Linked DNA regions of Mus musculus: all the other regions are reported to be linked to region 4. The links are microRNA targets in miRTarBase. Many come from high-throughput screens and were not tested one by one. Region 4 holds a microRNA gene; each other region holds the end of a gene's coding sequence.

Region 1 (4,361 bases), not on the chromosome of region 4:
CTCCCTTACTGGATATGCATCCACATAAACTTCACATGAGCGTTTGTCTAGTGTGTATCCTAAGATTTTTCTAAATTCTCTTCCTAGTCCCTCTGTGCTAGGAGTTGAATCCAGGGCCACAGGCATGCTACATTCACACTTGCCTCTGAGCTATACTCCCAACCCTGCCTCCTAGGAATAGGAAGCCAATAAAATACAAAACAAGACCAGGAGACCTTTCTGGGTCAAGTAGCACAGGCTGGCCTTGAACACCTGGATCTTTCTCTCTCCTCTTCTCAAGCACTGAGTACTTAGTGTTCAGAACTTTCAATAAATATTTTAATAACCATGGAGTGCCTGAGCACTTGACAAAGCAGCCCATTACCAAAGAATAATAACTTTTGTTTATCATTTGGGTGTGGTGGTTTGTTCTTTGCAAAGCATGTACAAAAAACATGGCTCACCTCAGTAATTCCAACACTCCAGGGGCTAAGGTTAGAGAATCGCTGTGAGGCAGCCAATCCAAACTACATAGTAAGACCCAAATATTGGATTGGAAACTAGAGAAAATCCTTTATAGGAAGAGGGAGACAGCAGAATTCCTGGAGGAAATCTGTGACAAGAGGTGCACGCTAAGAAAGAAAGCAATTGAAGAATTCTCGGTCTGTACTTTTTTTTCTTTTTCTCCCCCCCCTCACCCCCCACACATTCCCACTGGGAGGCCAGCTGTACAAGCATCTGTGTTGAGAACTGGATATAAGTCCATGACTGCTCTTGTTCACATTATGAACTTACTAAAGTTTCACGTTATTACTGGACCTTGAAAAGTCCAGTTCCCACTTCCTCCCTAGTCACATATCCCTCAGTTTTTGACATCAGCACTCTGCCAAACTCAGGGGCGCCAACTTGCAAGTGGGAGCCCCAGTCTGTAGTGGCAGCCCGGACTCCTGCGCCACACCGCCCCCTCGTGGTCACCCCATGTGGCCTTGGCTTCCCGGAGTCCAGCTCCCCAGCCCCAGGTCTTCCACCCACCCCCTTCACCTCCCAGTCCCCTCCCCTTCCTCCCGACAGCATCCCCTTCCTCTTGGTCCCTCTCCCCCCCGCCGCCACCCCCGCTCCGGCAGTGTGCAGGCCGGCGCCCACAGGTCCTGGCCGGGCTGGGCCGGCCACTTATCACTGCCCCTTGCATCGCAGTTCGGAAGCTCCGGAACCCTGCGTGTCCTTTCCCCCTCACCTATTCCGGAGCGCTGCCGGCTTCGCTCTCACTGGGCCCGCCAGTTTGGTCCCGTTTCTTTCTCTAGTTAAGACTCCTTGCCAGCGGCCTCACTTTTCGGCCTTTTCACATATGCATATTTGGGGGGGCCCTTACCCCCCCTCACGGAGAAATGGAGGCAATAAAATGGCGGACCCGGAAGTGAAGGCGCTGTGACTATACGTCCTGGCGGAGGAATCTGAAGGAAATGGGTTAGCGGAGCCACTTTGCCCTTCTCTCAGGACCTCAACGCACCTCTGAGTCCGACTCCTTCCTACTGAGGACCTCGTGAGCTGGAAAAACGTATACCGCGGGCATCCTGAGCGGGACTACTTAGCGAGGCGCAGGATCACCGATTACGTGGCTTACGTGAGGGATAGTTCCGGCAGGGGACGGACGCAGATGGTAGTTTTGGCGCCAACCAGTGCAGCGCTCGGAGGAACTGGTTACTGGTGCGTGTTGGCGTCCGCACTCTACCTTCCTGCTGGTTCAACGCCGGGCTAACTTGAGGGTTGGGGGAGAATCTTGCTTCCGCTATTCGGGACCTTCTGGTTATGCACTCCTGTCTGACCGGACACTTTCCCAGTGTCCTGAATATAGGTCAGGAAAGAACCCCTGAACTTTTGGGGGGAAGACTAGAATAGGATGGGACATGAAATTGCATGTCTTTCATTTACCAGTCTATCTTGGTTTCTGTTCACCATTTTAACTGATATAAGGACCGAGAGAAAGCTCGGAGAAAACCTTTCAAAAATCAATAACAGGACGCTGGAGCAATGCCTTAGGAGACCCCAGTTCAATTCCCAGCACCCACATTGCAGCTTACAACTGCCTTTAACTCCAAGATCTGACACCCTCACACAAGCAAGCATACATTTAGGCAAAACACCAATGCACACTAAAAATTAAAATCAGTAATAATAACAAACACGCCTTTGATCACAGCAGGAGGCACAGGTCTCCTAATTTAATACCAAAGTGCTAGGCCCACCCTAGCAGAGTCCAGCAGAGTCAGGTGGATTTCTCTGAGTTCAAGGCCCGCCTCCGAAGAAAACCACACAAATTTAAAAGTTAATAATGGGCTGGGGGGCGTGGCTAATCTCTGAGCACTGGCTGCTTACAGGGGAACCCTAGCAGGGCCTTGTAGATGCTTGGCAAGCCCTTCTACCATTGAGCTATGTCCAAATCCTAAATTGTTCTTCAAAGTCAAATATTAGACAGACAGAAGGAAGCGCTGGAGAGATGACTCAGTGGTTAAGAGCACTGACTGCTCTTCCAGAGGTCCTGAGTTCAATCCCCACCAACCACATGTTGGCTCACTTGTAATGGGACCCAATGCCCTCTTCTGGTGTGTCTGAAGAGTGCAACAGTGTACTCATATATAGTATAGTAAATCTTTTTAAAATAAAAAGAAAAGCTTCACTTAAAAAAAAAAAGAAAGAAAAAAAGATAAAAGGGAAAGCTGGATTCGGAAGTGTGAGTAAAATCTGTAGTACTTCATTGGAATGGAAAAAACTAAGCCCCAGACTTAGGATTTAACGTCTTTATTCCATAAATGAATAAACAGCTCCGCAATTCATCTGCAATAGCTTTGGAAGGAATGGGGACGGGTAGGGTCTGAACATAACTGCTTACTTCACGGTCTTATGGCGGCCAAAGAACTGTGTCAGGAATCACTGATTCCTATCACATACTGCAACTACAGAAAGGCAAAGCTAAAATACTTAGGACCAAAACATCTGCCTGTTCCATGACAAAATCACAATTTTATATAAATTCCCCTAATAATACTCTGGTGTTTCTTTAGATCAGATACATCTTTTGTCTTTTAGGAATTATCCTCATAGTGAAGTTTCCCTGTGAAGACTCAAATCTGATTTTCTGAGCATTTCTACCCACAGCTGGAAGCAGAGCTGGATATTAAAGGAGCTACCTCTGAAACGGTGCGATGTTTTTCCTCATCCCACTCCTTTGTTTCCCACCTTTAACTGCCTGCGTGTTTCTGGGGAAGAGAATGCATTGTAAGCAGCAGCAGCATTTCTTATCTTAGCCTTTTAGAAATCCTGTTTTGTAGAAAGTGTCTCAAAACTTCCAGGTTCTCATTACTTCTTGAAGCAGTATTTGCTTACTGGCCTGGTAGAGGACATTAGGGAGGCTCAAGTAATCTTTGAAGTTGATTAAAATGTAACAAACAAACAAAATAATTGGTCTCCCATTTTGCACAACTGTACCTCTCTGTGGTGCCTCAAATAAGGGTGATTCTTTTCTGGGATTAGTTAATATTCTCCGGGCTGACGGGAGGAAATCCTATGATCTAGTACTCCATTGATTAAACCCTTGACTTTGTGCCTAGAGGGCTTTTGAGAGAAACGGAGTAGGCAGATAAATAAATAAATAAATAAATATAGATAGATAAATAAGTACGTACATACATACAAACCTACAATTCAATTGGCAGATTCATCAGCACCACCAGCACAATAGAGGGAAGAGAACAAGATTAAAGTGGAAGGCTTAGAGAGGAAGGGACTTAAGAGGGAAGATAATGAAGGTACGGGGTGGGAGAGAGATCTTGGCCTTAAAGCAAGTCCAGGTCGACAGAGTGGATGCTGGCAATAGGCGCTCTCCAGAAGTTGAAGGTGCTGTACTCAAGGAGGGGGTCACCTTCAGGGTTCTTCTGCTCCGTCCCAGATGCCTGCCCGTTCATTTTGCCAACGCTGCTGCTATCCTTGCTCTCGTAGGTAGGTGTATCTGACAGGCCCAGGCCTTCCAGCTCCGACAGATCCAGTTCTGGGATGGGCATCCTCCAGAAAAGAAAGGAGCTGTACTGGCTACTTACAGGGTCCCTCATGATCCCCTGAGGAAGAGCAAATCACGTGTTAGTCTCCACGATAGAGCAAGCTCCTTGCCCCGTGCTTTCCCTTGCTTAAGTTGTTCTTTTCTGTGTGCTCTAGTGAATCAGTCAGGTTTTCTAAGACGAATATCAAGAACTCTTTTGCTATTTACCACCAGGCTCCTACCTTCTCCCCACCTCTGGCTGACCAGACTGCCTACTGCACAAGGTTCTTCTTGGCTCTAATTTTAGCTCTAGTAATATACCTCAGGCCTTATGCACACTAGGCAGGAACTG
Region 2 (4,361 bases), not on the chromosome of region 4:
CAGGACACAACTTGTTGACAGGGGTGCAGTGACCCAGCCATAGGAGTTCTGAGGCTTCTGTGGCTACTCACAGGGGATTATCTGAACCCAGGGCAGCTCCACAGGCAGAGGTGGCAGTGCCACGTGCGCCATCACAACTCAATCCCGCTACTGAGGCAGCACGGAACTCGAAGCACGTGGCCTTCAGAAAAGGCATGCTATTGGAATAGTTCTCTGCTCCCCTAAATGAGGAGCAAGCATCTTTTTTTTTTCTTAAAATTATCCACTGCAAAGTAGTTTCTTCAGTTTTCACTTTCTACATTTTGCTGGTTTTTAGCTAGCAGCAATAGTACGGTACAAAGCAGAAAGGCATAAAGTCTGCTTGCTACCTAGGGTCTCTTTGTGTGTGTGCACACATGAACACACACACACACACACACACACACAGACAAGAGAGAGAGAGAGAATAATCTACAAGGTCTGGGTCAGTCATGAATTCAAGATAGAAAGAAAGACTAACCCAATAAAGTGGCACTGTCTACAAGGAGGACTCTTATCCTTCCAACTCAGATATAGTTTTTATCTCTGTACGTCTCATGTCTGAGCTTAGAAACAGAACCTATCCACAGGTGTTAAAAGTGGTCAAGTTCGATGGATTAGCCCACTTATGTACATCCCAAAGAAAGTCAAAGCCTAGTATCCTGCCGTTACTATAATTGCTGGAGAACAACCCAATCTAGATCCAGGCTCAGAGGAAAGTGCTATTTAGCCTAGCAAAGATCTCCATCTGTTCTTGGGTATTCTCTTATCAAAGGAATTGTATCAAGAAGCCAAAAATCCACTTTCCCCCTGGATTAGTAAGAGATGTGTTGGACGGCTTCATTTGACTTCACCTGGAACTCCTCATTTTGAGCTCTTAGGGGTTTTGCCATGCCTACTGAGTGAAACATACATAACACAAAATGTTCAAACATCTGTCACATTGTTGGTACAGAATCAAGCTTGGCCACTCACTGAACATGTTACATAGGCATATTCTTTAAAATTGTCCATTCTGTTTTCTTACCTATGTTTTCTTATCTATATATCTAATGATGCTGTTTAAAAGGTTATTTCATGTGTTCAGGTAAGGGAGATCGAGATCACTCACTCAGTTTAGTACCTGGTACATGGTAGGTTTTCAGTACATCATTGTAGAGCCTGTTATTTGGGGCAGCAGAAAGAAATACTATTGGCTGTGTGCAAACTCCATAGATGGTGAAATCTAATTGTTCTGAAATCTAATTGTTCTAGTTGAGATTCTCAATATATGAAAAAGAGGGAGAGATGGTTTTGGTTATTCTTATGGAACCAGAACTTAAGGCTCCCATTTTATCAAGAACTCTAGATGTCCCCCAATACGACACTATTTTTTAGCCCTAATTAAAATGGGAACAGTTTTCTTGGCATAGAAATTAGTCCCTACAACTAACCCTCATTTTCTCTCCAGTATTTTAATTTTCCCTACATTTATTTTATTTTTTACAGAACTGGAGAGAGAATCAGCGCCCCATGCCATGTCAGCAACTGAGATGTATCCCCAGCTCTACTTTGCTGGCCTTAACTCCAATAGGAGTCACTTGCAAACTATCAAGTTGTGGTCCAAGAATCAGTGGTTTGGATTTACAGTAGGGTACAAATGAGAATTACAAGTAAAAGCAATGCTTCATGCAACTGTAGACCACTGATGATATTCTGCAACATGGCTGATAATAGTTATAGTTCACCAAATAGCTCCCAACATCAAGGTACTGTTAAGTAATTTCTTACATGTCCCGTTTAATGTTCCTAGCAAGCCTATATACTATTAATATCACTACAATTTCATCTTTTAGTAAAATATATAGAACACTATCCAAATTTGCCTACAATCCTTGTGAAGGGGCCATGCTAATCTCTGTTTCATTCTAATTTTAGTATATGTACTGCTGATGTGAGCACAAGTACCATTTCATATATATAAGAAAACTGGGACTCAACGGAAGCTAAATTACTTGCCAAAGTAACATATGTCGTAAGTGGAGAAGCTTCTGCTCTTCTTTGTTGTGTTTGCACTATAGAATAGGAAGCAGTCATACTAGGACTTCACTATAATCACATGGCTGGCTGGGTATCAGGTGCCAGGGAAAAATCCTCTTAATGTCCTGCTTTCCGAGCCCTCTAGACTTAACTTGGATAGTATCTACTTCTTTATTTACATTCCCTACACTTGCATCATTCTTCACCAGCCCAGATTATTCCAAACAGACCTGGCAATGCTCTGACAACACCGCCTCCATCAAGCAAGTTGTCAGTGATAAGTTGCTTTCTGCTTCCATGAGTCTCTTTTATAGCATTTAGAGACCATCTCTCTCACACACACAAGCCCCACCTCTTCCATGTTTCTGGTGGTTATAGAAGAACCTAGACTGATCCTTGAAGCAATCTCTCTCCTTCTTCGAACCCCCTCTCTTGTTAACAGAATGGAGAGCCTACACGTGAATAACACACCATAGTTGTCCAAAATCACCTGGGAGTAGTTTGCATGAGAAACAAAATCTGACAATTCACTTTTCCTAACTCTCATTTTCTCCTCTGCCACTATAACACTCCCACACTCCATTTTTCAGGTTTCTCTGACACCGAAGGACTCAGACTAGCACTAAGCTCAGAAACTTACTCCCATCTCTTCACTGTCTTTTCTCCCCCTGCATTGAAATCTTTGGCCCATCTTTACCAGGAGGGAAGGCAGTGTTTACATAAAACCATGGATTCATTCTCTGGATCTTTTATAGTAATTTAAAAGGGGTTCTAACCTATCCAGTTTCTTCACACTTTAAGAACAGTCTCTCAAGTATTCCAGCACACATTGGTACAGGTTTTAAACTTCAGAACTCAGAAGATAGGGGAGAGGCACGCCAAATTGAAAGCCATCCCCTCTGAAAATACAGGTAAATATTAATCTCTTCCCTAACTGCACTGGGGAGAAATTAATACTTTTCTAATTAGATTGCCTGAAATAAATACCTATAGTAGTAGACTGTAATAAAAAGACACCTGTAATTCATCTCTCTGATCTTGAATATGTCTTTCAACCTTATTCTGTATTACACATGGAAAATGGATTCTTTTACTTTACTTTGGTATATCCCACAATTTATGCCAAATCAATTAAGCATTTTTCTAGTCCTTAAATTAAACTGAAAATGTGGAATCTGTGAAGATGAATTACTTTAGAATTCTTCTGAAGTTCTTTTAAACTTAGTCCACTAGAATAGACCTGAACTATGTATATATAAAAGCCCAACAAGAACTGGGATTAATTCAACAAAAACTGAGTAAAGAAAGAACATTGCACATGGTTAGTACTGTTATCCTCCCTACAGAGTAAGCCACATCAATAAATAAAGCAATGGACTTTTCAGTAATGTACACTTAAATAGTTACAAACATATATGTAGAAAAACGACGCAGTAGTGCAAAAAATAAATTATTAAAACAGAAAGAAGTATGAACATTATTTTTTACAATGCTTTATAAAACCTGAACCATTTGAAATGAGACCTCAAGTCAGTGAAAGAATGCAGTAACATTAGTATCTCTGCTTGACATTTCAACCACACACTCATTTAGCTATGAACAACAACTCACTTTTTTAACTTCAGAAAAATTGATGCTAAACATCAACTCTTTTTGACTTCTTCACACTTCTGCTATTTGTGTGTTAGTATAGTGTTTCAAGAAGCATTTGAAGACAGTAAGTCAAACAGGTCACATCCTTTTGGTCTTTCTACCTCATTTCTGTGTGGTCAAAAAGAATAACAACATCTATCTAGGGTACTCTCTTCTGTTAAGGTGTTATTGCAATTAGATATGTTTACAAGAACATTGCCTCGGGGCAGTGGAGAGGGTAGAAATTCCTCTTCCACAATCCAGTCCCTTTAATTTTGGTTTCTCGATATAAAGGCCAGGATACGCCGAATACCATTCAATCTGTCCTTTAAGGACCTCATTGCTAGGAAGGGAAGCTGAGCTCTGCTTTCCAGAGGAAGAACCGCCAGTGTCCACCAGCACCAGGCTGGACCATTCGGATTAACCTGCAACAGAGAAACACAGTTCATGGATCCCATGTAGTCCATGTATAGAAGTCCACATGCATACAGTAAAGTATCACACATGGAACTGCTTCTGTGTGTGGCACACATTGCTGAGAGGCATTGTTTTCCTCTTTTATTTCAGCTAAGCATACATGGTGGCAGGGGATGAGGAAAACTGTTACTTCTCAGGCATCTTTGCAGCTAGGTGAGGCCATAAGGTCAAATTTTGGCTAAAAACAAAGAGAGGTGATACATCTAAGTTCCCAT
Region 3 (4,361 bases), not on the chromosome of region 4:
GATTTGTTTTTATTTGCTGGCTTGTTTTTAGTTATTCTGTATGTATGATGTTTTCTGTCCATGTGTGTCTGTGTACCACATGCATGGCTGATGCCTACAAAGGCCAGAAAAGGACTGGAGTCCTATAGATGATTGTGAGCTACCATGTGGTTGCTGGGCCCCAGATCCTCTAGAGTGCTTCTAACCTAACCATCTCGTCAGTCCCTGGTCATTTTTAAGGACTCTTTTTAATACCACATACTGCCGACTGCAGTTGTTTAGAGGTAGTTTAGCTTTTCATTCAAGCAACCTTAAGAGTGCTCATGAAATACATCAGCATTCTCTCTCGCTTCCCTTGCTATAGGGCAGTCAAGGTAACCTCTAAATATAGTCAGCCTCTTGGAGCTATAGTTAAGCTGAGGGCTGAAGATGGCTTTGGGTGAGAAACAACAAACTGTTGTCTAGAGACCTACTTGTGGTTCCCAACACTGCGTCTCAGGCAGCTCATAACTGCCTGTACCTCCATCTCTACAGGATCCAGTGAATTAGGGCATTCTGTGCTGCACTCACACAAACATGTGTACGTACACACACACACACACACACCATACATTATTACTTAAAAAATAAGTTTTACCTTCAGGTTTCATTTACCTTCAGGTTTCATTTGTGTATGTGTGTGCACAACCATGCTGTAGCAATGAGAAAATTTGCATATTGGTTTTCCTTCCACTATGTGGGTTCCAGGAATCAAACTCAGAGATTGTTGGGCTTGGCAGCACCTTGACCACTGAAAAATGTCACGGGCCCCCAACATTTTGAGATGGTGTTAAACAGATCCATCTGCCCATGTCAGCTGGATGCCATTATATAGGCAAAGTCTAATTGCTTTGTTTTCTATTTTACAGGGTCCACTACTCAATTTCACTTTGGCATGAGGAGATAATCCGTTGAAACATTAATTGAATATTAAATAGATTCCCTTTTGTAAATCAATGGCTCTTTTGTGCTTTTGTATTGTGAATATTCGATGGGACCAATACATGCACAGCTTATGATTGTATACAAATCCTTAGCAGCAGCACATGAAGACAAACTGGAGTTTGTGTATATAAGCAATGTGTGTGTGTTCATGCACAGTAATCATTAAATTACATGTATATTTGTGGAATGCTAATTTAAGTGATTAAATTATAAACTTTGTGTATTTATCAGGTGGGTGAAAAGATTAAACTTTTTCAAATGACAGTGCTGCTGGACGAGTACCTTGCGGTGCCCTGCGCTTTTCTTACAAAGCTACTGAAGTTACATGTTTCTGCTTAATATATTTGCTACTGGTGATGAAGACAACATATCACTTGTAGAGACCTATTTTTGTATAATGGTCAAAGTTTTGAACTTTATGGGTATTTTGTCAAGTACTGAAATAAAAAGACCTCACCATTTTCACCTTACTGTAGTTGAACCTTCTTGATTTTTCACTAAGCCACAACTCGTGGTCCCTATCATCTTGTTACTTGTCTCAGCTCAGGATCCAAAGTGTGGTTTTGCTCTGCCTTCATTAAAGAACATTCTTAATGTGCCTGTTTTCAACACTAAGGTGGCACTGGTGTTTATGATTAGTCCATGTTTTATTACATTTCGTGTTCTTATGTCCAAAGAGACTTACAAATCTAGACGCAGAAATCAGCTCTCAATATTAAATTGTATCCATAAGAGTGTAGCAAAAATCAGGAAGCGTCCTGCTAAGCCAGCCAAATTCTAATTGGAAAAGTCTCAGAGAGAATACTGTTCTCCAGAGGGCTCCCTACTAGCACTGCACTGACTAAAATAGCTGTGGTATTGGTTTACATCTGGAAAAGAGTGTTTCACTATTAATGGTCTCTGCACTACATGAAGACAATCACAAAGCTGTGCATTGCTGGGAATTTCTAATTTTATTTCCCAAATTTCAACTAGGCTTTCTAAAAATATCAAAACTATTCTAAAGCAACTAGTTGAGCAGGAAAGTTGTGCATTAAACTCTTTAAAAAACTAATACAGTTGCCAAGTCAAGACAGTTCAGTCGGGAAAAGGCAGATGGACAGGTGCTTGCCAGCCAATCTACCCTACTGCTAGTCTACCCTACTAACACCCTATGGCCCTCAGCCTCTGCTGTGTTGTTCACAATAACTTAATAGCTCGTCTGTGGTCAGTATCTCAATCTGGAATTCTAGTGCTTGAGCCCTTTTAAATCTCAGCACTGAAAATATGTCAAAGTCTAAAACTAGACAGTAAACAGGACAGCCTTACTCAAGTCACAACTCTGCCAGGAATCTACCAATCTGATCAAAGTCTAGAACCCCTCTAGGAATAATAAAGACAAAACATCTACATTGGCAAAGAAAATCTGTTACTTAGAAACAATCATCAAACTTTAATCAAGGTTTTAACCTAACACGTCTATGACTTAAAAGTCTTAACAACCACACAGTAAAAGGAGGGACTTGATCAAAGTCTAGAACCCCTCTAGGAATAATAAACACAAAACATCTACACTGGCAAAGAAAATCTGTTACTTAGAAACAAACAGTCTTCAAACTTTAATCAAGGTTTTAACCTAACACGTCAAATGTAACATCTATGACCTAAAAGTCTAACAACCACTCAGTAAGAGACAAGCACACTTTTGAGAGGTGAGCAACTTTTGTAACTTGTTATGAAAATACCTGATTTCTCATGGGGCATTGATAACAAGAGTGACTTACCTAAATAACCAAAGATAATACTAAAAGGAACCTATTTCAGGCAAATAGGATGTAAGCTTCCATATGCCCAGATTTCATGAACTGTACTTACTGAAGCACAAGTTCAAATTCATGAATACAAACCAGTAAAACTTTCTCAGAGAATTTTAATGTGGAGCCTTTAACAGCAGAGATTTAGGCCTTCACTGGGAGTCTTCAAAAGCCTCTTAAAACTGTAACGGAGTTTCAGTTCCTCTTGCTACAAGGAAACACCATGACCAAAAAGCAAATCCCGAGGGTGAAGGTGGGTTATTTGGCTTACACTTCCATATCACTGTTTATCATCAAGTGAGGACAGGAACTCAAGCAGGTCAGGAACCTGGAGGCAGGAGCTGATGCAGAGGCCATAAATGAGTGCTGCTTACTGTTTTGCTCCTCATGTCACGGTCAGCCTTTCATAGGATCACTAGCGTAGGGATGGAACCACCACAGTGGGCTGGAGCCTCTCCCATTGATCACTTATTAAGAAAATGCCTTACAGCTGGATCTCATGGAGGCATTTCCTCAACTGAGGCTTCCTTTTCTCTCTGATGACCCTAGCTTGTGTCAAGTGCCTAAGACCAGCCAGTACACATACTTTTAGAGAAAAGAGGTTTTATTTTGGGGAGTGTGTTAGTCTTGCTCCGTAGCCTAGGTTGGCCTCAAATTCTCAATCCTGCCGCAGGTCCTGAATAACAGCATTACAGGTGTGCAGCACCACTCCAGCAACAGAGCTATTCTTACTCCTAACACAGATTAAGGGCATGTCACAGAGTTGGGTCCGTGGTTACAATCTGTTAGGTTGTCTCCTGAGCACAGAATACGGGCAATGATACCATCTCCCATTCCCCAGTCTCAAGGCCAGAACTCACTAATCTCAAAATCAGACACTTTTAAAAGCCTGGTAAATTTAAACTTCCCAACAACAACAAAAAACCTTAAGCCAAATTAAAATAAAAAAGTCTTACAAGGATTTGATTTTGGATTTTTCACAAAACTGTGACCATTTGGGACCAGTAACATACATAAGCACTCTTTAGATTTTATTACTTTTAGGAATTAAGGTTATCAAGGCAAGGTTCAAGATCGCTGCCATCTTCCAGGAGCGGTGCTCCAGTTAACATTTCAAAGGACACACCACACCATCTAAGTAGCGTTTACTTCCACCTCAAGCTTCGCAGTAAACTTAACCTTTATCCTTTCATATCTTTACGCACAGAAGTGGCCCAACTACACGACCCCATTACCTTTGTAGCATTTGACAAGGCTTTGAAACTTCAAACACCAGTTCCAAATCTCCCTGTGGCAATGTGTGGAGTTAATTACCTGGATGCTGCATTCTATATCTTCTTAATTCCAAGACACACCCCCCCAAATGATTTCTAACATAAACTTGGCTTCCCTGAAATCCTATCAAAACTACTATAAACTGTTTCAAATGCCATTCGGTCTGACAAAAATCACCGAGTTAATAAAACATTAAAATCATAAACTGGCTCTCAGAACCACACTCTTCAACCCAGTACAGCACGAGAGCTTCTCAGAGGCTTCATTCTTTGCCAGCTGCGGCTTGCGGTCCTCTCTCCACACTGGCTTCTTGTTCCTCTTCTCATTTTG
Region 4 (4,361 bases):
CTCAAAAGCTAAATAAAAATACTGTGAATGATTCTCTGCCTCATGCATGCATTTGCTTTTTACCGTGTTTATGAGGACCCTTTTCTGTTAATAAATATTAGGTATGATCTCTGATTTGATTTCAACTTTTAGGAGCCTTTGTGCAATCCCCTAGTTGTCCCCACCGCTGGCCGGGTTTGACATCTGGTCAACTTCATCATGCATTTGCTTTTGGCTTCTCCTAGCAACAGGAAAATGCCACCAGTCACCCACTGACGGAGCATTCTTGGGAAAAATGTCCACTTTGATGCCAACTGCTCCCGTGAGAGCTTCTCTGCCCATGTGGTTTTCTCCAGTGTCTTTTTTAGCAAATACTCAACCCAGAGCAAAGGGGAAGGGTGTGTTAAGACCAGCAGGGTGCTGTGCATAAATTGTCATCGTCAGCTGGCATCAATCTTCTTCCGGTTTTTGGGGTTTTCTGTTTTGGGGTTGTTTGTTTGTTTGTTTGTTTGGGGGAGTTGCTTCTTCTTTATTTTTTCTTCGTCATCAGCAAGCTCTTCTGGAAATGACTTCGTCTATGAATACATTAGAAACATGGTAGAAAAGCTCGCCTTGGAGGTTAAGGTAGATATAGTTTTGCCACATGTTTCTTAGGAGTGATGGGACAGACTGTCTCCCCCATCAAACTCAAGGCCTTAAGGGGAGAGTATCTGGCCTCATATCCCAGGAAGGGACAGACATTTCCTGGTTCCTGGGCCACACAGGATGTCATTTCTTAACGATGCCAATAAGGCTCCTTAACTCTTGAGTGCAGTTTAGAACAATCCAGGGCTGTGAAATCAGCTGTTTTAGCCATTCCGTTGCCCAGACAGAAGGTTATATATGACAATCATCAGGATAAGATTTCCTGACTCCTAAGCCAGGGCTCTTTCCTTAGACTTGGTTCCCCCTGTCTCCCTTACCCCCACCTAGCTCTCTATCCTGTCCTACAGGACATAGGACCTGGGAAGGTTTCAGGCACCTGGTCACTTACCATTCACAAAGCACCAACTGAATTAACTCCACCCCCGCCATGCAGTTAGGACCTCTGCGCTGGTTGTTGTGTCTAAAGTCGAAGAGTCCTTGAGGTGAGGCTCAGGAGGACTGCCCAAGAAAATAATTCTTCACACCACGTGGCCACAAGCACGTCCGGAGTGCAGGACCCACCCCGGCTTCCCTTGCCCCTTCTCTTTGGCAGTAGACACCCCGGGCATCAGGGCTGGGAGCAGAAACTCCAGAGAGAAGGAAGGTACAAAAGCTGGAGGACCGAGGCCCTGGCGAAGGCCGTGGCCTCGTTCAAGTAATCCAGGATAGGCTGTGCAGGTCCCAAGGGGCCTATTCTTGGTTACTTGCACGGGGACGCGGGCCTGGACGCCGGCATCTGGGCCCAGGAACCTCCTTTCTGCTAAAGGCGGCAACAACAGAGTTTCCCCCGTCCATCTCCAACCCTTTGCCTGTAGCCAAGCTTGCTGGCCAAGCAGTCCTCCCGGAGACTCAGGACCGGAGGCCACACCCAGTCACTGGCACCAGCAACAACGAGTGTTATGAGCAAAGCAGGTCCTGCAGCTGCTACAGCCACACAGCTCTGCCCTCAGCCTAGCCCAACACCCCAGCTCAGCAGGATCCTGGTGGCACCCAGGATAGACCACCTATATTCCTCTGGCCCCTCTCTCCACCCTCAGCTGCAGAGCCAGACCCCCAACCCACTCCTAAAGCTAGCCAGCCGCTTTCTCTCCAGGTCTTTGCCCTAGGAAGCGCCTTTTCCTGGCATGCTGCAAAGCAGTGTTTCCATCTAGGAAGTCTGTCCTGCAGTGTGTTTTCCTTGCATGGGGTGCAGTCTTGTGTCTCCTCTCCCTTTCCGCAGCCCCCTCCCCTGCTCTGTCTGCCCTTAGAGGCCCTGTGGCTTACTGCTACCTTTAGCTCTTTACCTTAACTGCTTCCTCCCTGAGCAGCCTCCAGGGCTTCTCTCACTGCCTATGGTTGGCTGTGGACACAGGCTTTGGCCCAACACAAACCCAAGTGTTGTGACGCTTCCGATCCTCACGTTCACACTTTGCTCGGGTTGGAGGCTCAGCTCTCTCTCTCTCTCAGCGTGTGAGCTCCTCTTTATTCAAGGTCAAGGCCAGATGTTGCTTTCTGAGACGCCCTCTGGAAGGGAGAATTATCTTGAATGAATACCCCACTGTGAGATTTCTTGTGTTCACTAATTTCTGTCAGTGTGTGCTCAAGACTGAGTGAGCTGAGCCGGCAAGGCCCACCACACGAGTCTCCAGAGGATTGGGGGCTCCAATTCAGCCTTGTAGCTGAACTGAGCACAGCGCTGAGACCTGGTAATTATGTTTTATTTTAAAGATGTAGCTAACTTCTAGTGGAATTTACTCAAGTTTTAATTGGTCCCTCCCTCTGCCCACTGCCTCTCCCTGGCTTTGCTTTCTCTCTTCCAGTTCCTACACATTCCTTTAGCCTCCAGAGACTGCAGCCTGGGTGTTAGGTGAAACCAGCTGCTTCGCAGGCCTGTCTGGTCTGATCAGAAGGATACACAGAGCCCAACTGTGGGAAGCAGCCCCTTACCCATGTGAAGTGCTTTCTGTACCCCTACACAAGCAGGGTGACCTCCATGGTGTCCACTAGAAAGTTTTCAAGTGCATTAACCCCAGGGGGCAGGGATGTTCAGAGTTGGAGGCCGCAGCTAGTCCTAGACTTCCAGAAGGACAGCACCTAGGCTGTGGCCTGTGGCCACATAGGGGCTGACTCAGCAAGTGCCAAGTGGATGCATGAGCAACTGCGACTGGACATGGCACAGCTGTGCTCTGCTTACTGGCTCCGAAGATACTCAAGAACCTTGACGACGTGGTCGGCTTTCCTTTCTCTCTACAAGGGTTGAGACGCAGAACCTAGTGCAAGCTTCAGTAAATCGTACATAGGCCTGGCAACAGGAGAAGGGCCCCTTGGCAGTTCTTCCAAGGCCCACGCTGTCCCTGGATGCTATGACTGACAGCTCTTGTCTCCTCCCACCGCAGGTGTATGTGCTGAAGCGACCTCACGTGGACGAGTTCCTCCAGAGGATGGGGCAGCTCTTTGAGTGTGTGCTCTTTACTGCCAGCTTGGCCAAGGTGCGTCCTTTTCGTCCTGCATCCTGTGTCCTGCATCCTGCGTCCTGTTCCCAGCCGTCATCCCAACCTCTCCACCCTCCACCACACCCCCCAAGCTGCCAAGAGCCCTTTGTTAAGGTGGAGGAAGCTATTTTTACGGTGACAGGTTCCCACCCCAGATGCGATAGATGCAGGCCATGTGCACACTGCTAGGCTGAGAGGTTTCTGGTTACCATGGTGACTGGGAGCATTTGGAACAAATGCTCCATGAAGTTGCTTTATGCAGCCACCTGAAACCAGTTATCCACAGACAAAACCACAAGACCCGTCCATTGTGACTGTGGATGGATGCAGGTGTGGGGGAGTCTCCCTCACGCATTGAAGAGCAGCCAGATTTTAGAGTCCCTGTGTCCCCGTGTTTGATGGCCACAGGTTTCAGGGAGGAACAAGTTAAGAGGCAGGTGTCAAGTGTCACTGGCAGGCACAGAATGTTGGGAGTTCTGATAGCCTTGGGAGCTGAATGGTTTCTGGTAAATTCCTTTACCTCTGGCACATTGGTTTCTTCTTGTCTAATTGGGGATAATTCCATCTGCCTGTTAGAGTTCATTAAATGAAATGGCCCATGTGAACGGCTCAGCACAGCCCCAGATTCCCATCAAGCAGACGTTCATTGAGCCCTCACTGTTCTCTGGGCACTGCCATGGACACTGTCGCAGGGTAAACACTCCTGATGTTCAGTATTTACCATCATAAGCACCAATAGCATCCAGACAGGCTTCACAGGTGAGTTGAAAGCAGGCGGAGTAGACCCTAGCTCGCTCTCCCAAATCCTTTCTGTGCCGACCGTGACTCTCGCAGAGTCAGTCAATCCACTTAGCAGAGGCACCTGGGTCTTCATGGGTACCTGGAAAACTCTGAGTGGCCCCAGAGATGAGATCTGTGGTGTGCAGAATTCCGGGAGCCACTAGCAGCTCCCTCCCCCACGGCCTGCCTGGGATAGCACCCATCCTCATCTGCCTGTTGGATCTTCGACCCCAGGTCTTCAGCCCCACTCTGCTGGCTGGGGCATTCCTGGCTGGGTCTATACTCTATGCTGACCAAGGCAAGAGCCACACATTCTGCTCCACCAGCGTCGTCAGCCAGCCTCAATGGGAGCTGCTAACGAGTGATCCCGAGCCTGGGTTTTGATCTCATGTACACAAAGCAGAACACGGCCTCAAGGAAAACATAGTCGTCCCCAGTGGTGTCAAG
Region 5 (4,361 bases), not on the chromosome of region 4:
CCTTGGCTACAGAGGGAGTTTAAATCTAGCCTGAGCTAGTGATAATATGTCTCAAAAATAATAAAAAATTAATAAGGGAAAAGTTTTGTTTTCATAGCTAAGACCTTGTTGCTGAGCAGAAAAGATGATTCATCCTTTGTGTTCTCCAAAGGGTAATAGCAGGCTTTCTTTTTGCCTCATTGTCTTACTAGTCTTTAGTGATTCTGTTTATTGATAACTTCTGTCTCATTTGAATCATAAATTTTGTCATTTACATGGGTTTTTTTATAGTTGATTCTTTTATATTGGTTTATAAGGTTTATTTGAACATGTGTTTGAGAAAAGCAATGGAAACTAATGCATGACAACACCAACGTTGTATCTGACATGTACTGTTCATAGCTCCGCCGCATGCAAGAGATGATTGCAAGAATGCAAGCGCAGATGCAGATGCAGATGCAGGGTGGTGACAGTGACAGCGGGGCTCTCGGGCAGCATGTGTGAGGCCGAGCTTTCATATTGGTAAGTGGGGAGGGAGGGCGGGCTCACTGCCAGCTCAGCCATGACTGTGACTCCCCTATGACTATGGGCTCCTCTCTCTCAAGTCCGCTGCTGTTAGCTGTGTTAGTAACCTTTCATTGAAAAGCAGAAACTAGTCTCTGCTGCCACCTACTGTCTAGTAAAGATATTCTTATTTTCTAATGTTACAATATAGTTTATGGTAAAGAAAAAATTAAATATGTTAAAGAAAAATTAAAATTTTTATTAGTAATAGTGTTGGAAACTCTTTAATATTGGAAACATCTTTAAAAAGAACTTTCTTAATTTATTAAAGTCTTCTGCAGATGAAAAAAAATAGTAAAGGTGCCAGAAAGAGGAACCAGTGCCATTAGATAAGGGCCACCTAGGTGTAGACCTCTAGGCCTCTCAGGCAACCGTGCTGTGACCATTGAAAATTGGCGTGTCACTCAGATTTGTGATCTGATGTAATTCTGAGCACTGTTTTACAGTATCTGTCAGTTTCCACAAACCTCATAAAGGCATCTTGATTTAGTTCAGTTTATGCCCTTTGTTCTGCAGAGGGAGGATTGCCAGTGCTGTAAGAAACAAATGCATCACTTCCATTTAAATTGTTTTGTTTTTACTTTCCAGGAAACACTTTGGATAAGAAAGACTTCCTGATAAGTGCTACAGCATCAAGGTTCTTAGCCCTGTGGAAGGAAGGGCACCCATCCACAATGAAGCACCTGTGTCTGAGGATTTCAGTTGGTTGTTTTTTGTTTTTTGTTTGGTTGGGGTTTTTTTTTTTTTTTTTTTTTCTTTTTTAACATTTGGTGGTTTTTGTTTTTACTCTTTTTTTCTTTTCCTTCTTTTTCTGCCCTCAACCCCCCAACTCCTTTGGTATGAAGTACTTTTAACATTTATATTTCATTGTTACACTTTAAATTTTGTAAGGAAAACTCTGATATTTTATTCCTCCTGAACCACTAATGTTAGAATTTATTTCTAAGAATCAGTCAACATGTATACTCTTAATAGTGAATTTCTATGATATAGCTGGCCTGACTAATCACTGACAAGTACTCTTTGATTTCTATCTAGACATTTTTATGCTCAGAATGTTCCTGTGTGGTGGACATTGATGTACCTGTGACAGAAGTGGTTGTGCATACTTGGTGGCAAATTATTTGCTTACTAGAATTGAAGTCACATTGTTAACTTTATATTTGTACAGAACACCTAAAACCAATTTTGCTGCTGTAGTTCATTCGGCTTATTCATCTGCACAATTATCTGTTAACCAGGTAGAACAGAAGAGAGTTATCTAATGAGATACATGTTTATACTTAAATAGCTTTTAAAAAGCAGGATTTCAGGGTTGAATTTTAAGAGCTCTGGATTCTAGTGCCAGATCATTTTCAAACCTCTGTAGAGAAAGCTCACTACAAGGACTTTTTATACTGTGGATGCTGATTATGCTATGCTGTGGAGAGAACCAAAGCAGCTATGAGCTCCAGCTTCATATTGTAACAAGACTCTTTATAAGGAAGAGTCAGTAAACTTTTTACTCAACTAAAAAGGCAATACTTTTTTAAAGAAACCAAAATGTTTATATTTTATACTGCACTTTAATGTACTTTCTATAACTAGGTGCAAAAGGTCATAGCAGTGGAAATCATAGTCCTTGGCTGGCATGGATCCAACCCCAGGCTTGTGATTGGGTGGTGCTCTTGAACAAAAGGCCACTTGAAGCCCAGATGCCTGCCAGGTTTTCGTCTAACTCTTCCCCTTTTCAGTGATCCTTCTATTGAAAGGAAAATAGCAGTGCTGGGTTTTTTATGTGCAGACTGTCTCATCTGTTTCCAGGCACTGTCATTTTCTTCAGTGTGTGTAGTATAAATGTCTTCACACCATGAACGAAAGGCTTTTCAGATCTGTGCCCCAAGCAGGCAAGCAGAGTCCTGCCTGGTTTATATTCTGGCACTTCCCTCTTCTACCCTGTCTTCTAATGTCAGGCAGTGACCTTAGAAGGGAAGGGGCAGGTGAAGGAGGCAGTGGTGTGGAGAAGCAAAGCAGGTGCTAACTGTGTGCTTTCATTTGCTGCAGGAGGAAGGACTTGATTGATGATGAGGCAGGGATTTACGTTTAATTCAGTCCAAAACTCAGTAGTACTAATAAGATGAAGCTTAAGCATGGTTGTTTATAAATTTAATGAGGAAAAATACATTTGCTCGCTTTGCCTCTTCACATTGCATCACTGTGAGTGATCAGGGAAGTTCATTGTGTGAAGTTCCTATCAAGAAAAGCGTCAATGACTTTAGAGTACCCATGCAGTCCTTTGTTTGGCTTATTTTGACATTAAGTTTGTTGGAGAAAAATTTAAAAACAAAAAAATGAAAGAATTCCCAAGTATTCGGTGTGAGTCCCATGTTTTTGAGTTAAGGTGCTACTTCGGGTCAGCTGACATCTAATATTGGCAGTGTGGATTGTGAGGTCTTGCAGCCACAATTCTAACCCCCTTCAGTTTTACTGCTTTTGCTAACAGATACTTGCTCTTTCACTAAGAAGTAACTTGTACTTGTAGAAATGTATTTTGAAAACATTTCACACTTCAACTTTGTATCCATTTAAATTAACCTTTTTCAATAAAGCACTATTGTTTAGATATTAAATGAGTAGTCCTCTTTTTGAGTAAAGTATGCGGGCCATTGTGAAGATTCAAGACCCCTATTACAACTGTATATCAGAGCAAGATGTTACTTGTATTAATAGCAGGCGTGCTGCGTATATTTTCATCAGAGATAACCCAGATACTCCAAAAGAAATCCTATAGCTGTACAGGTTATCAGATTGTCTGCAGACTACTTGATAAAATGGACAGTAAGACTTCATAGGTAAATTTACTAATTAGAAAATGAAGCAACAACTGTTAAACATAGTGGGAAGTAAAAGTGATCCAAATATATTTCTAATTCTCCATATTTGTAAGAAGAGAGATGAATTAGGAAAACAGTCTTAATTTTTAAAATGTTTGTTTATGTATTGGTTGGAGTTTTTTTTGTGTTTGAGGCAGACTCACTTTTGTAGCCTGGCTAACCTGGAACTCTTTATGTAAATCAGGTTGGTCTCCAACTCAAAGAAATCTACTATCTCTCTCTTTGCCTCTGGAGTGCTGAGATTAAAGATGTATACCACCATGCTCAGATTTTTACGTTTTTCTACCTTTTTATTGTATGTGTATGAGTATTTTGCCTGCCTGCATGTCTTTGTACCATGTGTATGCCTGTCACCCAAGGAGGCTAGAAGAGGAGGGTGTCAGGTCCCCTGGAACTGGACTTAGAGACCGTTGTGAGCAGCCATGTGGGTGCCAGGAACTGGATTTGTGTGTTGTGGAAGAGCAGCCCTTAACAGCTAAATCATCTCCCCAGCCCAGGAAAGTGACTTTAAAAATCTGAATTTGCTCTGGTGAGATGCCTTAGTGGCTAAGAGTACTTGCCTCATAACGTGATCAAACCTGAGTTTGATCTCAGGACTCATAAAGGGAGCAGAGCCACATAACCCCAAACTTTATCCTAATCTGGGTGGATGATCAATCTCTTCGGCCTGGCCTCACTCCGGTTTGTCAGCATGACCCCTGGATTGACCACCCAGTACTATCGGAGTCTTTCTCATCCTCTTGCTCTCTAAGCAGCGTACTGACACTAGGAAATGAGGCTCCTGCTCTCTAAATCACTAGGTTGCTCATGTCAAACCTCATTCTTGCCTTGTCCAGTCCAGCTCCTTTTCTTTTTTTTTTTTTTTTTGGTTTTTCAAGACAGGGTTTCTCTGTATAGCCCTGGCTGTCCTGGAACTCACTTTGTAGACCAGGCTGGCCTCCAACT
Region 6 (4,361 bases), not on the chromosome of region 4:
TTAGCCATTCAATATTATTTGACTTCTTCAGGTTAATCACCATGTTCCTGCTGCTTAGCCATTTGCTCAGAGTGATAGCAAAAGACAAATTAACCGTCTGTCACCTTCCCCAGCTCTACAACACAGACAGACACCAAACCTCTTAAGTCCTAAACCATTTGCTGTCAAAAGTACCAACAGACTAAAGGTATTTATTTATTTATTCATTTATTTATTTGTGTATGGATTAGGTCACAACTTCTGTTGTCCTAATGATTTCACTGAATTCTTTTAACTTATTCTGAATATGAATATTTTGTCAGAGAGCTTTCCTTGAAAGATGCAGAAACCCACCTCCTACCCACACACCACTTCAAACTACACCAAGTCAGAGAGAATCATCAGAATTACTTTTATGTTTATAAACATAAAAAAAGCAGAGGACCAGGGTGAATGGTGAATAATAAAGCTCTAACTGACTCTTATTCTAAACCACAACATCTTGATGATCAGATAACTCAAATTAACTGGTAGACCAGTGAGTATTGCTTTGATGACTAATGATTCTGGAAATATTGGGACTAGGGAAAAGTAATATAATTTGGGATTTAGATAGTCTTGTTAAAAGAAAAAAATGAAACAATAACAACTAAAAACCAAATCAAAACAACAATAAAAACCTACCCTCCCAGCCCATGTCTGTCCTGTTGCTCTCCCTTAAAATCTAAGTATCCCTGGGAAAAATAATGTACTGGGTCCACACCATGTTCATATAAATAAGAGATTTTAATTATCATTTTGCTTTCTCTGGAGAGACTGTAAATAGGAGAGTCCTTGGAGGCAATGTAGGGGATGGTGGTGGTAAGGGAACAAAGGCATGGTTGACAAGTACAACATCCACCTTCAGAAATGCACAGGACTTAATCAGGGGAGCTATTGAAGGCGCAAGCATTAGTTCCTTCCTAGCACTGACATCCATTTCTCATTAAGGTCATGTATGTAGTATATTTTAAAAACAACATTTTCTTTATGCTTAGACAAAAATTGTTCCAGCATCGGGCTTTGCAGAGGACTCGTGGCATTGGGTGATAATGTCTCCAGAGGAATGAAAACCCAGCAGCATGTTTTATTCTGGTTTCCTACTCTACTTTCAAGGAGAGATCACCTCATGGTTGATCTTTACAACAAAATAATTTGTATAAGCAGAGCAACGGGGTCACTAAATGATGTTATTTACAACACATTTTAAGGCTATAGCTTTTTTCATTGTGAAAAACATGATTTAGGAGCAATTAACAGGTACTTGATAAATTTGTGGTTTAGTTTCTGTGTTATCTCTTAAGATCTGTATCATGGAATCTCTATTTAGCTGGAATCTCGACTGTTTACTTTGGCTCTTAAACTCATATAAACATTTATTTATTGTGTGAACTGTTTAACAAACGTTTGGCTTTTATCTCCTTTCCACTTATTTTGGCAGGAGATGGGGTATCTGGGAGGCAGCCATTGTGCTCAGCACTTTGGAACTCTGTGATGTATAGTCAATACACACCTGTGCTGCAACTGCTAGGAAAAGTCTCTCTGCTCCCCTCCCCAATTCAGGAATTCATTCATTTTAATGAACTGGCAGCTTTACCTTCTCGTCATTAATCTTGTCTTTAGGTAGAAATCCATGTGTGTTCTTTCAACAAAGTCCTTAGTATCTATGTGGCCCTGAATTGTGCCTGTGAGTTACATACTTCCCCTACCCCAATATATACACATGGTATGGCGGGGTGGGGGGGGGGGTAGTATTCTAGAGAGCATACAAGGGCTCTATTAGAAGCATCCACAAATGGGAATTTCCATTCCAGTCTTCTAGGGCCCATGGCTAGTAGATTTATATGTATCACATAGCAAAATGACAATGAAGTAGAGGTGAGAACTGATTCCAGGAATAATAATGATGATGTGCATGGTATAGCGCTGAACAACTTAGACTCTCTGTGCCTCAGTTACTTCATCTATGAAATGAGCACAAGACTACTTCCTAAGGAGGCTAGGGTGAGGATCAAAGAACACATGGAAAGGTGTTTTTTAAATGACAAAGGGCAAAATATTATTAATATATTTTGTAATTCTAAGGATTAAACTCATAGACTCATATGCTAGGCAATCAGTCACTTGTAAATTGTTTTAGTACAATGAGATGTAATGTCTACCTTTATAAAGACAGCCAAAAATGCAGAGCACACCCAGGTTACCTATGGATCCTCTAGTATACAGTCATTTCTAAACCCTGAGAAAAAGGTGAGGTCTCCTACAAAGGATGACCAACGTCTTTATTTTTCTGAGGAAGTAAGAAAAGGAGTCTGAGCTTCCTAGGTCTACTCTGTTTTGTTTTCCCCTACTTCATAGTCTGAGTCACTTTTCTTGGCTCTCAATCTACAACCTATGGATGCATAACAAATGAAAGCAGCAGTACTTGGCCTCAGGGAAAATGGCATCAAAAAGCAAGGACTAAATACACACCCATAGTGACCCTCTGCCCAGATATGAAGATGGATGAACTCCAGCACTGAAGAAGCCAAACAGTCCTCATGGTGCATGGGTGACAGGTTATGCTCAAATGTCAGAGGCCTTTATTTTGGCAGATATGGGAGGCACATAAATATTTTATGGGCATAAAAACAAGAACCCCGAAGTGATGTGATGGCTTTTCTTTTTAATTTAAATTTTCTGTCCTTTGGAAGACTGTCTTTTACATTCAGGAAAGAAGTCTTTTCCTGAGGAGTTTACACTGAGCAGTGTAAAACAGAGTGGCTAATTAGGTGTGTCTGGAGAATGCAGCCTGTGTTCCAGTTTCGCAATTGCAGACTTCAAAATCTATTGCTTGAATCTATGGTAAGTCAAAGAGCATATGACTCTAGGTTGAGAGAGGAAAGATTAGAAACATTTGACCTCTTATCAATTTCAACAGTGTCCAAATAGGGACTAAAATGACTGATGCTCACCAGAGTCCCAGCTCTAGCAATATTGTCACCTATTTTACAGTATTTTAACCAAGTTCCCATATCTTCTTTTTACAACACCATTAACTGCTATACAGATAAAGTCTAGATGATAAAATAGGACATGATTTTTTACAAATAGATACAAGTACAATGTTGACCAGATAATGCTACATTAATTATGTACACCTTGTTTCTTTAGAGGCAGGAACCTCTTTGAGGAGACCATCAGCTTTCTGCTCTCTGCCTGCTGTGCCTACCCTCACCATGGAAGCTTATCCTGTGCTTTAACTCCATTTTTGAAGGAGACTCTTAGAAGGAAAGCCAAGCCCTTCTACAGAACTTCTTGGCACCTTTCTTAGTCTACACACAACCAAGATTTTTTTTATTAGCCTAGATATCATCTCTTCCTAAGTTACATCTCTTAGTACAGTAAAATGAACACAATCCCTGCCTCTCTTTTATAAAATATGTTTCCAAAGTGGAGATGAATTCTTCCATCAGTCTTTCCCCTCCACATCAACATTCTATCACATCTGGTGAGGTGAACACTTTCCGAGCAGTCCTTTGAGAGGCCAGGTAGACTTAGGCTGCTCTGTGGGATTCAGCCTTTCCATATATACATGTGGTTTGCTACAAAAATATACTTTACTTCAAGTCCTCGATGATGAGTGCTTCAGATCTTCATGGGGGAATTAAGAGCAACAGACAGGCTAAGCGCACTACAGTTTGTACCTGAACATTTGCACAATACCTTTCTCAACAAACTCTACCTAGGCTCTGTGCAGCCAGAGGTCAGGTGCTGTTTAAGTGAGCACTGTTTTCTGACAATCCAGGAGGACAACTCAGCTTCTCAGGCTTTGTAGTTATGAATAGGTGTTGTCAGGGTCAGCTGCCCATTGGGAGCCACTTCATTGGCATCGTCCTCTAACAATCCCGACACATCTGCATTGGGGATGCTGTCATGGTAGCTGCTGAAACTGATATTGTCTTCTTTCAGCTCGATGGTCCAAAAGGGAGCATTGAGTTTCCGATTTTGGTACTCTCGGTACATGTACACAGCTCCTACAAATCCCATTAGCAGCACTACCACAATGATGATGACTGTCAAAATGATGATGTTAAACTGGGTCCATGATACATCAGCAAGAGCTGAGGTGCTGTTTTCAGAAGAGCTTACTGCAAAGATAGTCTGCAGGGTTGTGGGGGCAAAAGTACTATTTATAACAGGGGTGGGCACTGATGTGGTCAAAGAGGCATTGGAAACCAAAATGGTAGAACCTTCAGGAGTTGGAACAATAACTTCTGAAAATAAAAACAGAGAATGAAATGTAAAAGACAAAATTATCTAGTTTTGAGAAACAATAAAAGAAATACACATGAAAGTGAAAG
Region 7 (4,361 bases), not on the chromosome of region 4:
CTGGGATTTGAACTCAGGACCTTTGGAAGAGCAGTCAGTGCTCTTACCCACTGAGCCATCTCGCCAGCCCCCAACTACACATCTTTAAAAGAGAAATATTAGCCGGGTATGGTGGCGCACACCTTTAATCCCCGCAGGCAGGCGGATTTCTGAGTTCGAGGCCAGCCTGGTCTACAGAGTGAGTTCCAGGACAGCCAGGGCTACACAAAGAAACCCTGTCTCAAAAAACAACAACAACAACAAAAAAGAGAAATACTAGTTCATCTCCCACCCACCTCAGCAGCTCTAGGGCAGATCAAAGATGCCAGCAGGCTGGTATCCTTGCAAGCAGCCGTCTTGGCTCCATGCACTGCTCCCAGCTACACCAAGCTCTTTCCTCACCTGGCTGTCTCTTCGCAGCCCCATGACGGCCTCGTAAGAAGGGGGGCAGTCAGTAGGATACAAGGGCACTGGGCTATCCATGGAGCCATTATACGTGATGCTGGCAGGATGAGGGAGAGGATCAGGGTCTGGAAACTAACTCCTACTCCACAGCTATGCCTCCCAGCAATCCAGTCCCTCCCCCCAGCAGCCCCTTGCTCCCCCACCCCCACCTCCAGCCTTACCTTTGTGCATCTGTCTCTGAACTGCAGGTGTACTCTGGAGGGTAGTAGGGTGGTGGGGGCACAGGCGGGACAAATTCCTCCAAGTCCAGCATGGTGTGTAGGAGAGGAGCTGGAGGCGAGGATGTACACGCCAGGGGCCCTAGGGGGCCTGAGACTGACCGTTCAGGGGCAAGCTGCTAGAGAGCAAGCCTGGTTTCAAATTTCTTCCCTTTCTGCTATTTTTATGGCCCTACTTCCACCAAGAAGATCCAGTTCCACCCTTCCTCAGCCACACCCAGCTTCTTCATCCTGCCTCACGCTGAACCTCCAGCTCTGGCTTTGTCCACCCATATATCTCTCCTTTTCTAGCTTCACATCTATCCATAATTGTCACCTGTTCCCTGTCACCATACAACTACCCATCCTTTATCCCCTCCTCATCCTAGGACCTTCCAGATTCCACCCCATCCAGTCTTCCTCACTCTCCCTTCAGCACTCAACATCCCCGAAATAAATATCCTCAGGTCACCTGTAGCTATGCCTGGCAGGCCCAGGCCCAGCACACACACACACACATACACACAAACCCAGCTCCCACCACCCCTGTCTGCTTGGGCCTTGGCTCCCTTCTTACCATATGCACCAGATCCAGGGAGAAGATCTGGACACAGCAGACAATAGCAGAGAGGGTACAGATTATTGCAGCACAAATGGTAAGGCCACAGACACTGAAGAGCAGGTTCTGGAGAAGATAAAGGAGAAGAGTAAGGGGCCCGGGACAGAAAAACCTTACACACTTGAGCCTTTGAAAACTCCAGGAGGGGAGCAAAGGAGACCCAAAATAAGAGTGTAGGGGGAAGGGCTGGGGAGGGCTTCTTCACCTTGAGGGCCCCTCTGGCTTCATCACAGGTGGAGTTGAGGGCAACTTTCAGCTCCTGGCCCCATTCTGGGCAAGGTCTGTGTAGGGGGATAGGTGGGCAGCATACACAGACCTTCCCTTCCTGTGTGGGAGTGCAAAGGGCAAGGCAGCCCGGGTCAGAGCAAACTCACGGCTTCCTCCCATCTCTCCTAACCCCTTCCTTCCAGGTTTCCCTCCTCAAATCTCACCATGGAGCACTCTCGGAAGTCCCGAGCCAGCTGAGCATTCTTACAGGAGAGAACAGAGCCAGCCATGCTAAGCATGACACAGAGCACCGAAAGCAAGGAGAAGAAAGAGATCTGAGGGAAAGAAGGTGGCATCTCAGGGCTGGGACCTTCAGCAGCATCCCTCTTCCACAGAATGAGCCACCCTCTTCTCAGACAGCTTCTGCTAGCCTTATACCAACTGGAAAGCTCCTGGGAGGCATAACGGGGGGGGGGGGGGTAAATCCCCTTCGCTGCTGGGCACCTGCTTCCTAGTGGGCATCGGGCCTTGGCACCTACCACTAGAGTGAATGGCCGCTTCCAGGACACAATGCCAACCAACCCGGAGAACGCCAGCTAGGGACAGAGTGGGCACAGGCTCAGCTTGGCAGGGGAAGCACCTAAGTGAGCCCCTTGCCACAGGATGCACCCAGCCCTGCAAGGAGGGAGAGGACTGGGAGAAGAAGGAAAGACAACCATGTGGGCTTGCAGGTGAGGAGGGATGGGGCCTAAGAAGCTTCCCCCACCCCAGTACTATATACTCTTTGGACCCCACTCACCGAGAACCCAGCCCAAGATGGGCAGGACCTCTTGATGCTCTCGGTGGTGGTGACAGAGGAGGCCACCATGCTGAAGGTTATCACCAGGATGCCCAAGAGCACCTGGGCCAGCCCCAACGTGAGCAGGGCCTGGAGCCAGGGTCGGTGGAGGCGGAGGTGGGTAAGGCCCCGGGTACTGGGCCGGCTGGTCAGCGAGCGACTGGAGTCACTGGGCGAGGGCATCATGCCTGCCGCCCAGTTGCTCGCACCTCGCTCGGTCCCCCTTGATACTTGTGAGCATCTCAGAAGCACCCAAGCCCTGGTTCTTTATCCTTTCCACAGCCCTCGCTGTAAAGCCCACCTCCTGGCTAGGTCCTCTGGGGCATCGCCCAGGGACGCCAGCTGGAAGGAGGCCCAAAGGAGGGGCGTCACGAAGGGACAGTGAGGGGCTCCCTCCCCACCACCAAACGGGTACCGTGCCCGGGGAGGCGATGAGGACGCGAGGGCACCGGTTCATTGCATTTCCTTAATGAAGAGGGGTGCCGAGAAGGGCTGATCCCAGACTGAAGAGTAGCGTTCCGGAACCCAGGCAAGGGTGGGGAGGGCAAAAGCGAGAGGGATGCAAACAAGTCTACAGAGAGGGGGAAGGTCTGCATGCAGGAACTAGAGGTGCGTTTGGCCATTCAGGGCCGCCTGGTGGGGAGAGGCCGTGGAAACTGTCTCCAGAGTCGCAGACCCGCTCCCCTCCCCACCATGCTCGGCTTCCTTAGCTCCTCCAGCTGCAGCAGGTCAGCCTGTGGAGGTGGGGGATGGTGGATGGTGCGTGGTGCGGAGGAGGGGTGTGGTGGGTGGTGCAATGCATCCCGGGAGCTGTAGTCTGAAAGCAACCCTGGGGAAGGGAGGAGATAGGGAGAGGCCCTCCTCCATCCCTAGCCTCGCCCTGAAGCCTGAGCAGTTAAGGATCATTTCTGGGTCCATTTTCTGCCCCACAGGTTCCCGGGATGAGGTGTTCACACCAAAAGGGACTGACTGCTCATTCATCATTAACAGAGGCATGGTAAACCGAGCTGGGGCTCCCCCATCTCCCGCCTATCAGCCTGCCCACTTTGCCAAGTGCAACCCTCTCCTTGCAGAGTGTTTCCACCCCAGTTCCCCACTCCATACAATGGCCCAATCTCCAGTAAAGATACAGGAAATGGGTGAGTTCCAGTTACACTTTTTTTTCTTTAATTTAAATAACGGAAGAAGACATCCTTGGCACAGCAGAAGGAAACTGGGGTTGGGGTTGTGTGAGAGGTGGCGGCAGCAGTGTGGCCAGATGGGAGATAAAAGGCAAATAATGACTGAGTCACAGCGGGCTCTCCACACCTCAAGTCAGGATTAAAGTCATGGCTGTGGAATGAAGAGCCCCATAGAAGTCACCAAGTGGTGATGGCTCCCTGAATCCCAGAGACTTCAGGGATAGGGACTATCTTGGTTCCCACAGGTGACAGGCCCAGGGCATCCCAGCGGGTGCAGCAGGGGTCAAGGGGCCCTGAAGGCATTTTCAGCAGCTCCGGCAGCTGCATTGGCAGCAGCAGTTCGAACCGCAGGGTTGGAGAAGACACCAGCAGCAAATTCTTGCTGGGCCTTCTGAAAGCTGGCACCCGTTTGGCGGTACAGGGAGTGGATCTGCAAGAGGGAAGAGATTATAAGGGAGGCAGGCCCCTCCCATCCCAGGAGGATGGCACCACTCACTAGTCTCCTGCTTTGTACCGTTCCTTCTGCGTTGGCACTCCCTCCAAACACACAAACTCACCCACCCAAGAAAGTCCATTAGTTGATAACCCACCCGCCCTGCCCCATTTCCTTAATGTTCCACTCAGCAGCCCCTAGGGACCCAATGATCTCACTCCCCAGCCCCACCTTCTCCCGACCGGCCCTCACCCGCTTCAGCATCACGATTCCCAGCACTGCGATGCCGGTGAAGAGCAGGGCGACGAGCAGCATGAGCACCGCCACGGCAGGTTTGGATCCCACCACCACCAGAGCAGTCACCCAGCCGCTGTGGGAAGATGCACGGGTGAGGACCGACCACTCTGCCGGGGCTCTGCTCACCCGGAGTCCCCTAGGTCTA

What was found. Region 4 holds the annotated microRNA mmu-miR-26a-5p (UUCAAGUAAUCCAGGAUAGGCU, at 1,314-1,335, shown strand). A microRNA usually pairs through its seed, bases 2 to 8, with sites in the 3' UTR of a target mRNA and lowers its output. Matches are read on the target gene's strand: a 7mer-m8 pairs with bases 2 to 8, a 7mer-A1 pairs with bases 2 to 7 and ends in A, and an 8mer does both.
Region 1: the mRNA of Mllt11 is a reported target of mmu-miR-26a-5p. Seed matches in the 3' UTR shown: 7mer-m8 at 3,388-3,394.
Region 2: miRTarBase lists Lonrf3 as a target of mmu-miR-26a-5p. Seed matches in the 3' UTR shown: 7mer-m8 at 2,848-2,854.
Region 3: miRTarBase lists Akap9 as a target of mmu-miR-26a-5p. The part of its 3' UTR that is shown has no 7-base or 8-base seed match.
Region 5: the mRNA of Septin2 is a reported target of mmu-miR-26a-5p. Seed matches in the 3' UTR shown: 7mer-A1 at 2,225-2,231.
Region 6: the mRNA of Megf9 is a reported target of mmu-miR-26a-5p. Seed matches in the 3' UTR shown: 7mer-A1 at 3,622-3,628.
Region 7: the mRNA of Scamp3 is a reported target of mmu-miR-26a-5p. The part of its 3' UTR that is shown has no 7-base or 8-base seed match.

What each region holds. Positions count from the first base shown.
Region 1 is chr3:95,216,376-95,220,736 of GRCm38, forward strand. It overlaps Mllt11 (myeloid/lymphoid or mixed-lineage leukemia; translocated to, 11), which reads right to left. Exons shown (of 2, transcript NM_019914.4): 2 at 2,169-4,088. The coding sequence starts at 4,082. The coding sequence ends at 3,810. It overlaps Gabpb2 (GA repeat binding protein, beta 2), which reads right to left and starts at 1,567. Exons shown (of 10, transcript NM_029885.1): 1 at 1,214-1,567. Gm16740 (predicted gene, 16740) reads left to right here and starts at 1,082. Exons shown (of 4, transcript NR_108026.1): 1 at 1,082-1,683; 2 at 3,064-3,174.
Region 2 is chrX:36,361,497-36,365,857 of GRCm38, reverse strand. It overlaps Lonrf3 (LON peptidase N-terminal domain and ring finger 3), which reads right to left. Exons shown (of 11, transcript NM_028894.1): 11 at 1-4,094. The coding sequence ends at 3,939. LOC115489189 (a small nuclear RNA gene) reads right to left here and starts at 1,959; the gene lies at 1,856-1,959.
Region 3 is chr5:4,078,772-4,083,132 of GRCm38, forward strand. Akap9 (A kinase (PRKA) anchor protein (yotiao) 9) reads left to right here. Exons shown (of 48, transcript NM_194462.2): 48 at 888-1,433. The coding sequence ends at 925. It overlaps Cyp51 (cytochrome P450, family 51), which reads right to left. Exons shown (of 10, transcript NM_020010.2): 10 at 1,903-4,361. The coding sequence ends at 4,354. Among named protein-coding and RNA genes, the nearest start is that of Gm40260, 3.7 kb to the left of the region's middle.
Region 4 is chr9:119,030,498-119,034,858 of GRCm38, forward strand. It overlaps Mir26a-1 (microRNA 26a-1), which reads left to right and starts at 1,299; the gene lies at 1,299-1,388. Ctdspl (CTD (carboxy-terminal domain, RNA polymerase II, polypeptide A) small phosphatase-like) reads left to right here. Exons shown (of 8, transcript NM_133710.3): 6 at 3,039-3,131.
Region 5 is chr1:93,506,582-93,510,942 of GRCm38, forward strand. It overlaps Septin2 (septin 2), which reads left to right. Exons shown (of 13, transcript NM_010891.2): 12 at 382-501; 13 at 1,132-3,152. The coding sequence ends at 483. Among named protein-coding and RNA genes, the nearest start is that of Farp2, 3.3 kb to the right of the region's middle.
Region 6 is chr4:70,429,258-70,433,618 of GRCm38, forward strand. Megf9 (multiple EGF-like-domains 9) reads right to left here. Exons shown (of 6, transcript NM_172694.2): 6 at 2,670-4,274. The coding sequence ends at 3,823. Among named protein-coding and RNA genes, the nearest start is that of Cdk5rap2, 21 kb to the left of the region's middle.
Region 7 is chr3:89,181,854-89,186,214 of GRCm38, reverse strand. Scamp3 (secretory carrier membrane protein 3) reads right to left here. Exons shown (of 9, transcript NM_011886.3): 8 at 4,172-4,289; 9 at 3,445-3,916. The coding sequence ends at 3,770. Gm45927 (predicted gene, 45927) reads right to left here. Exons shown (of 19, transcript NM_001310017.1): 18 at 4,172-4,289; 19 at 3,445-3,916. The coding sequence ends at 3,770. Fam189b (family with sequence similarity 189, member B) reads right to left here and starts at 3,072. Exons shown (of 12, transcript NM_001014995.2): 1 at 2,267-3,072; 2 at 2,007-2,063; 3 at 1,692-1,802; 4 at 1,466-1,585; 5 at 1,219-1,326; 6 at 606-781; 7 at 382-481. The coding sequence starts at 2,491. Gm16069 (a long non-coding RNA gene) reads left to right here and starts at 1,788. Exons shown (of 3, transcript XR_003954659.1): 1 at 1,788-2,198; 2 at 3,238-4,307.